Linked DNA regions of Yarrowia lipolytica. The protein of the gene in region 1 interacts with the protein of each later gene in a pairwise test. Links are inferred from orthologs where the notes say so. Each region holds a gene or a part of one and is shown on either strand. Other genes may lie near its edges.

Region 1 (4,152 bases):
CAACTCCAAGAGTTTTGATGCCCTGACTCTGTGGCGAGATGAGTTCCTTCTCCTTGCCAACCCCCGAGACCCAGAAAACTTTCCTTTTGTGGTGATCGGTAACAAGGTGGATGTGGAGGAGAGCAAGCGGGCAGTTTCCGCCAAGCGAGCCCAGGCCTTCTGCAAGGCAACCGGCAACATTCCCTATTTTGAGACCAGTGCCAAGGAGGACACTGGTGTAGACCAGGCTTTCGAGACCGTTGCTCGAAACGCCATGGCACAGGTGGACTCAGAGGACTACACGGACGATTTCGCCGACACCATCAACATCCATCTGGATAATGAGCAGTCCAACTGTGCTTGTTAAGAAGTATTTATCGCAGGGGCACGTATGTTAATATATTAGAGGTTAGGATGGGATTTTGTGTACGGTAGCTAGATGAGCTGTAGACGACGTTCATGGCTCCTTCGGTTTAACCACTGTACACTGTGCAACGGACAAGGTGGTTACAAGAGCCTACCCTACTCGTACCATACTTGTTCAGGAAGAACTTGTCACTTCCAATTACATATGGCTGAATAATAAATAATGCAATAACTTATATGATCTTATTGTTTTGCGGCTCAATCGTGCTCACGCCGTTCTCCGACACGACCAACAACATTGGACTTCAGATACGACTTTCGCTTGCACAGACTGGTCCACCGTCTTCTTCTCCAAGTACCCCTGAATCCGTCGGGAAGAATGTCATAGACCCACTTTTCGTCCTGGTCAATCTCGAGGTACTTGCGCCAGGCACCCCACCAAGCTACCCACTGTTCAGGCATGTAGTCCATTTCCCAATCGGACGACCGCGGTAGAGAAGATAGCATATCTCTCTCAGGGACCTCCAGGAAGGTCCATCCTGTAGGAGGTAGAACTTCCTCTAACGAATAAACTCCTGGGGGCGCAGGGATCTGATGAAGAGAACTAACCCCGTAGGTTGCCATAGACACCTCCTCTTCAATGTTTCTGATGGCCTCGCCCATGGTCGTTGGCGGGGGCGAAAAGGTCCTGTCTGGAATACCATTTGTGTGACGGAACTGAGGTAGGATTCGAGATTCAGAGTCAACAGATCCAGCTGAAGCGGTAGGGCTCAAACCCAAGTCGTCAGGATCAGCATAGTAATTGGGCTCATGAAGCATGGACGGAATGTGAGGATGGGCAACATAAGTAGCCGTCTTCCATTGTCTCGTGTGAACATCCAGTTCTTGCAGCTCAAATACCTCTATCACTCTCACATCATCGGCGGTATGGTACAGGAACTCGTCTCTTGCTAGTTCATCAATCACCTCCTTTACAGCCTCAGGTGTGAACTTCTCCCGGGTCTCGTGAGGGAGCTTCTTGTACTCTCTCAGGACGATTCTATGCAGCATCGGGTTAAGCAGTAGAATGACAGCCCATCCAAAGACAAAGAAGAAGAAGCGCCATGGCATGATACGGAGAATGGTATCTCCGTATACATAAAAGATAGCTACCCCAAGCATTCCAACAAAGTAGATGGCAGCACTGAGTGATTCATCTCCAGCAAAGTAGATCAAGTGTGCCAGAATGCCAGCAACGATATCATAAGTGCGAATGAAGTCGGTCATCGCATTTTGTGTGTCCACCATGTTGATGTAAAAGTCTCTGGAAAACTCGGGAGCAGGAGCAGGAATCTTGGGTTCAATGGTAGGCCATTGGGTGGTCAAATAATTCTCCTGGACGTCGTAGTGTCTGGAGGCGTACGCGGGAACCATGACACAGAACATGATGTATGCCAATGGGGTGATGAACAGCAGTCGGGGATGCAAACAGATGAAAGAGTAGATGGCCATAACTCCTAGCGTAAAAGACGGTCTCTTCCACATTAGAATCTCCAGCACGGTATAGTAGGTTTCGTAGATGATGGTGAACCGCGACGTGACGCCCCTGAAGTTCTTTCCCATTAGATTCATACTAAAGGGGTCCTGGCCCTGCTGGATTCTGACTCTCTTGGCCACTGCAGCTGATTTAGGAGGCAGAGCTAGGGCCAGCATCTTGTCCATGAGTTTGACCGACAATTTAGCATGGGGGTTGATGGGTTCGGGGCCGTCCGTGTCCAGCTCCGAATCGGAGGCGTCGCTCATCACGTTGCCGTCCGAGTCTGCAATTTTTCCTCCTCTTAGTTTCTCAGCGGACACATCATCTGTAAGACCCTTATGGTGGCTGTCTGAGTGGTTCTTGGGCGAGCTGTCCAAACTCGAGATATCGCTTTTGGTCGAGCTCCCATTGGCGATATCGCTGTCGTGCGAGTGGACGGGTTGTAATGACAGATTTTGATCATCGTTTTGGTTGTGGAACGCCAGGCTGATGGCTTTGAGATTGCGCTGTGACGATAATGGCTCGGCCAATTCCACTGTCGAGGTCATGATGCAAGATGCGCAGCAGGGCGTGGTACGCTAAGTGATGCCGTTAATATCTCACAAGGTCACTGAGAGAGGTTCACAAACACTGATCCAGCTGAGCCTTGGAGGATGTTGCTGCATCACACATGTATTCCAAAAGCCTACTGTTGACGATTGCTCTTTTACCCTATTTGAGGAGGGGTTAGATAGACCCCAAATGTTGACAAGGGTGCAGCTGGAGAATGAAAGCTGGATATGTTCTCTCTTGAGAATCCAGTGGACCACTTAACCTGACGGAACAAGAGTACCCTCTCCAATGTGAACTTCGGTGAGCTACATGCCGTTTCTCTATTTTTTGGGATTAACTTCAGAAGATGCATGCAGATATACGAACCTGTTCAGCCTGCTTGGATACAGTATCGTACAGTAGCTGGATATTATGACTTGGAGAAGGTCTCTGAAACAAGGACCAGAAGTGGTGGTTTTGGAAGTGGTTTTGGAGGTGGTTTTGAGACCGTTTGCGACACGACCCGGTGCACCAACTGTCACCGAATTACAGGCAAGACTCCAACTTACAGCCTCTGTAATAACGCTATTCTTGCTCTTCCCCCGTATAGATATTTGAAGGCGGAGAGGCATGACACACAAGCTTCAACTGAACTTGACTATCAAGATTCACGCCTCTCTCTCACCCGATAATTGACTTGGGCCACACTTGATGAAAGTGGCCAATACTGCTCATATGCAAGATCCTTTTGTCGTCTTATATGGATCTGAAACTACAAGTACGAGTACACAAGAGTTGATGACGTTCGTTTCACTTTTCCCATTGTATGTTTGGAGGTCATCGAACAATACAGTGGGTAGTGTGTAAACATTGGTATCATTCAATATGTCAGTCTGAACTACAAGAAGCTACAAGTACAAGTAATTACACCGATTAACCCAGTCGATGAAAACCCCAAAGTCAAAGTGGGCTGTTTTCGGGCTGGAAAAGAAATCACCAACTCTCTTGATCCATAGTCTTCAACCATATACATCTTCAGGTATTGTCGTACTTGTGCCTACAACAAGCTCGAAACTCCAGACAAGGAAAGAATGCACTCATGTTAGATCCCCCACATGGCCCAGCTCTTGTTTCCAACCCTAACCCTAGCCTCCTGATTTGACACGCGTCTCCATGACAACCACGCATGTTGATCTGCATAAGCTTGTATACACGCCGGAACATCACGAACAATATCGGTTTTCGATAACAAGTCCAAAAAATGAGCATAAGTGAGTATCCGTTTGATTTTTCTTCTTGTCAGCGACATTTTCTAACCCAGTTCAAATCGACGCTTTGCCCGATTTAATATCGAAGGTCACATGGGGTCCTCAGAAGCATCTGCTTGTGTCTTCCTGGGATACTAAACTGCGTCTGTACTCTGTCAGTCACGACAATTCTCGACAGGTCACAGAGGTGTCTGCATCCAGCCCGATTCTCGACTGTTGTTGGGGGGACAACGGTGTTGCATTCACAGGAGGATTGGCAGGTGTGGTTGAAGCAATAGATCTTCAGGCAGGAGAACTTTTGAGCATAGGACAACAGCATGCAGATGCCATCTCGTCAGTGGTTTGCGATGCCGGCAACAATCTGATTGTGTCGGGTTCGTGGGACAAGAACCTGCAATTCATTGACGCTCGGGGAGGTTTTGGAAACAAGGACAGCTCTATGATGATTCCCACAGCAGGCAAGGTCTACACCATGGACAAGGCTACCAACTC
Region 2 (3,492 bases), on another chromosome or scaffold:
AGAAAGGCCTCTGACATTCTCTACAATTACCGAGATGACCTTGGAGAGATCTTCTGTGACCTTCATGGGCTTGAGCTTGATACCAGTGTCATGCATCTGGAGAACATTCTTCTGGGAGTCGAGGAGCAGTACAGAAAGAATAAAAAGCTGGTGTATGCGATCTCTGGTGTGGGTTACCATGTTGTTTCCAAAACAGACATGTTGACCAAGGAGGTGAAGGCCTGGCTGGACGAGTGGGGCTATGAATACAAGGTTTTTTTCATTGGCAACGAGAAATTCGGAACCGTCATTGCCATCGATCCTTGGTCCCATATCTAAATCAAATAACAAAAAAAAATCAAAAAAGAAGAAAAATAGTACACGTAGTTCTAAGCACGAATTATTCTACTAATGTGGCGCTTGTACAAGTATAAGTACTGTACAAGTAAGTAGCCACTGTACACATACCGTTACTGTGTGTGTGCGCATACAATACCTACTGCAGACGGCGGTAATTGTATACAGTACACACAGACACACCCTTGAATTACGTGAACAAGCTCATATAGCCGCCTCTCTTACACGCAATCGCGTAAAAAAATGATACATTCATATATTTAATTATCTCTTAAGAGTCCTCCTCGAATCTAATGCCCTTTCGTCTTCGCACCTTCTCCTCGGTCTCGGTGGTGATGATCTCCACATCTCCAGCAGCGTCAGTCACACCATCCTCCTCGACAGTGACCACCACATCAGTGGGCTTGGTGACGGTGATGAGCTCAGCAGTTCGCACCCATCGTCGTCGTCGGGTGTACTTGCTAAAAGAGTCGTCTGCAGTAGGTCGCTTCCATGTGTTGTCATAGTAGATCCATCCCTCGGAGGGAGAAGGATCGGGCGTGCTCAAAGCCTTGTTGCCAATAATGACCAGGGCGCCATCGTTGGTACAGTCCAATCGCCAAGTAGGATCGACCCACTGCCACTTCATGCCGGTGCCCTCTGTATCGGGCAGCTTGAACTCAGAAGGAGGAGTAACCTCGTTGAGGAACTCGTCGGTCCAAGGAGTTCGCTCGTAGGCCAGAAGGTTGGCGGTCCAGCCAATACCGAGCCATCGTCGTTGGTTCTCATACAGTACGTAGGTGAACCGCACGGGCTTTCCGTCCTTGGACTGCACCGACAGGGGCGATTGGGTGAATCCAAAGGCGCCCAGGTTTCGCTTTGTGTTGGAAAAGTCGAGTCCAGTGAGGTAGAAGGTGACCAGTCTAATGGCCTTGGACTTCCAGATGACTGCTCGTGTGACTCGGGCAGCCATGGAATGGTAGGTGAGGAAGAAGACGCCGGTAGTGAGCAGGAACTTTCGGGGTCCAAGGAAAAAGTAGGCACCAAACATATACAGAGGCGATAGGAAGAGCGTGGTGAATGCCAATCGGGTCACATCTCTGGGGGTCAGGCTCAGAGAGGTGATTGGAAGCAGCAGAAGATTTGCCTTGGTGGTGACATTGGTCAGCGTGTGCACAATTGCATCCAGAGAGGGCTCCGATGTTTGCCGTCTCTCCACACTTTGTCGAATGTACACAAAGGCCCAGATGAAGCCCACGGCAAGAATGTGACCACAGTAGATGACCAAGTATTCGTAGTACATGACCACGGTCACGTAGACGGCCACCAACAGAAAGCTCTGCCATTGATCATCCTCAGTCCATGTCAGCAGACCCAGCACCTTGTCGCTGGCCAGAATGTATGGGTATGCTTGAGCTAGTGCCTTGGTGACTGTTGGGGGAGTGGAAGACAGCAGGGGACTCATTGATTGAGGCTGCGAGGCCGTTGAGGGAGGGAAGGCCGCGTGCGTCGCACTGCTCTTTTTCTTCTCCTTATCCGACATTTTTGCTGTTTGCCGCTGTGATTGTAATGTGCTCACAGGCGTAGTGTGCTTGGTCGAATGGGGTTTGGGTGGTGATGTTGCTATGAGCACGCTTGCATGATGCTCACAAACTTTCACACTGTGGGGTACAATACGCACTACAGTACTGTAGGATGGGATGACCACCACGAGATGGCAATTAAACTGTTGGTACACAAGTTAGACACCCCACTACCCTATAGCACTTTTTAGATCAAGACCCCTTTTTGTTGAATTTCAAGACTGTCTGTGGCGTCTGGGACCGTTGTACACCTCGGGCGACCTCGGCTAGATTTTCCACCCAAGAAGTTCTCTACCCATGCGCGATATCCGAAAGAAGTTGGCAGGCGCGTCGGGAAGGTATTTCCTTCATAACTTGTTGACTTGAAAGTATTGTCTGCCCTTACCACATTCAGCATCAGATCAATTGGCCCTCAGTTTGTGTAAACAATTGCCACAGTTAACAGAAGTCGCTCTCATTCTCACCCCACACCGCATACTATCTGCAGGCCCTGACTGAATGTGCAAAATTACCTTACAATTTGGCCCTTGGCACAAACCCGGAGAAGTCATTTTGTGAACCTTGATGATATCGGTGGGGTTTGGGCGTATAATCACTTTGATGGCTTAGTCAGCCGTCAGATCAGGCTTTAGCGTGGTAGTCTTTCGGTGTTACTTGGTCCACACACAGATGTATGCAAAGAAGCTGGGTGGCGAATGTCTTGAGCAAATCAGCTACTGTAAGCGTATACGTTGTGTTGTAGTTGAAAGAGTAAAGGATGTGCACAATTCAAGGGAAGCCACAAGGAAACTGGTTGTATCATAAATTTGTTTTTATAGTCACGAAATACATTAATACTTCTAAATTCTAGTTATTGGCCATCCCAAAAGTGTCCTACTACTCGTACCAAGCGGTAGTAAGCTGCCACAGTCACCTTTTACATCGTTCTCCAATCTGGCTATGGGGGACCAATCTATCTGTGCTCTCGCGATTGTACATACTGTAGCACTGCAACATGAATGAAGTTATCTTTAAGATACTCGTACTCGTACTCGTATTTGTAGTGGTACTTGGACCCTGTTTAAGGGGCAAACTCAACCTCCATCTTGGCCACAATGGCCTCCAGATCCTTGGCCTTGAAAAGCATCAAGTGACCCTGAGGGAAGATACCATACTCCTGGAAGGCTCGCTTGGAGTCAGCCTCTTGGGAAGCCTTCTTAAATGCGTAGGAGCCGTACTGTGTACTCTTCTCCTGAATAACCTCATCCTCGGGATGGAAGTAGTAGGTCTCGGGCTTGTATCCGGGGCCCTTCTTGTTCTTCTTAGAGGGCCGCTCGTCCTCCTCGTCCACAGAGGTCTCGGCCTCAGTGAAAGTCTTCGAGAGCACCAGGAAGTAATCAAAGTCCTGATCCTTAGTCTCATCAAGAAGCATCTTGTACATGGGAGGAACGACCTGGACAGGCATGTTGATGAGCCGCTCAGAGATGATGAGACCAACCTTGGAGGTGGAAGAGGGGCCCAGCAACTTTCGCATCTGCTTGTGTAGCTCGGGAAGGTCCTGTGTTCGAGCGACGAAGTAGTCAATGAGAGCAGCAATAACTCCCTTCTTGTTGTC

The links.
Region 2: the proteins of YALI1_F26012g (region 1) and YALI1_D35945g interact in a two-hybrid assay, tested with the Saccharomyces cerevisiae proteins (2 studies listed by BioGRID). The link is inferred for Yarrowia lipolytica from reciprocal best matches to the Saccharomyces cerevisiae genes PEX29 and PEX30.

What each region holds. Positions count from the first base shown.
Region 1 is NC_090775.1:2,599,553-2,603,704, reverse strand, and holds YALI1_F26012g (uncharacterized protein), read right to left. Parts: upstream 2,410-4,152; coding exon 604-2,409; downstream 1-603. Other genes in the region: YALI1_F26039g (uncharacterized protein), read left to right, coding at 1-346; YALI1_F25999g (uncharacterized protein), read left to right, coding at 3,654-3,663, 3,714-4,152. UniProt on the Saccharomyces cerevisiae protein: Involved in the regulation of peroxisome number, size and distribution.
Region 2 is NC_090773.1:3,592,547-3,596,038, forward strand, and holds YALI1_D35945g (uncharacterized protein), read right to left. Parts: upstream 1,859-3,492; coding exon 608-1,858; downstream 1-607. Other genes in the region: YALI1_D35911g (uncharacterized protein), read left to right, coding at 1-318; YALI1_D35965g (uncharacterized protein), read right to left, coding at 2,959-3,492.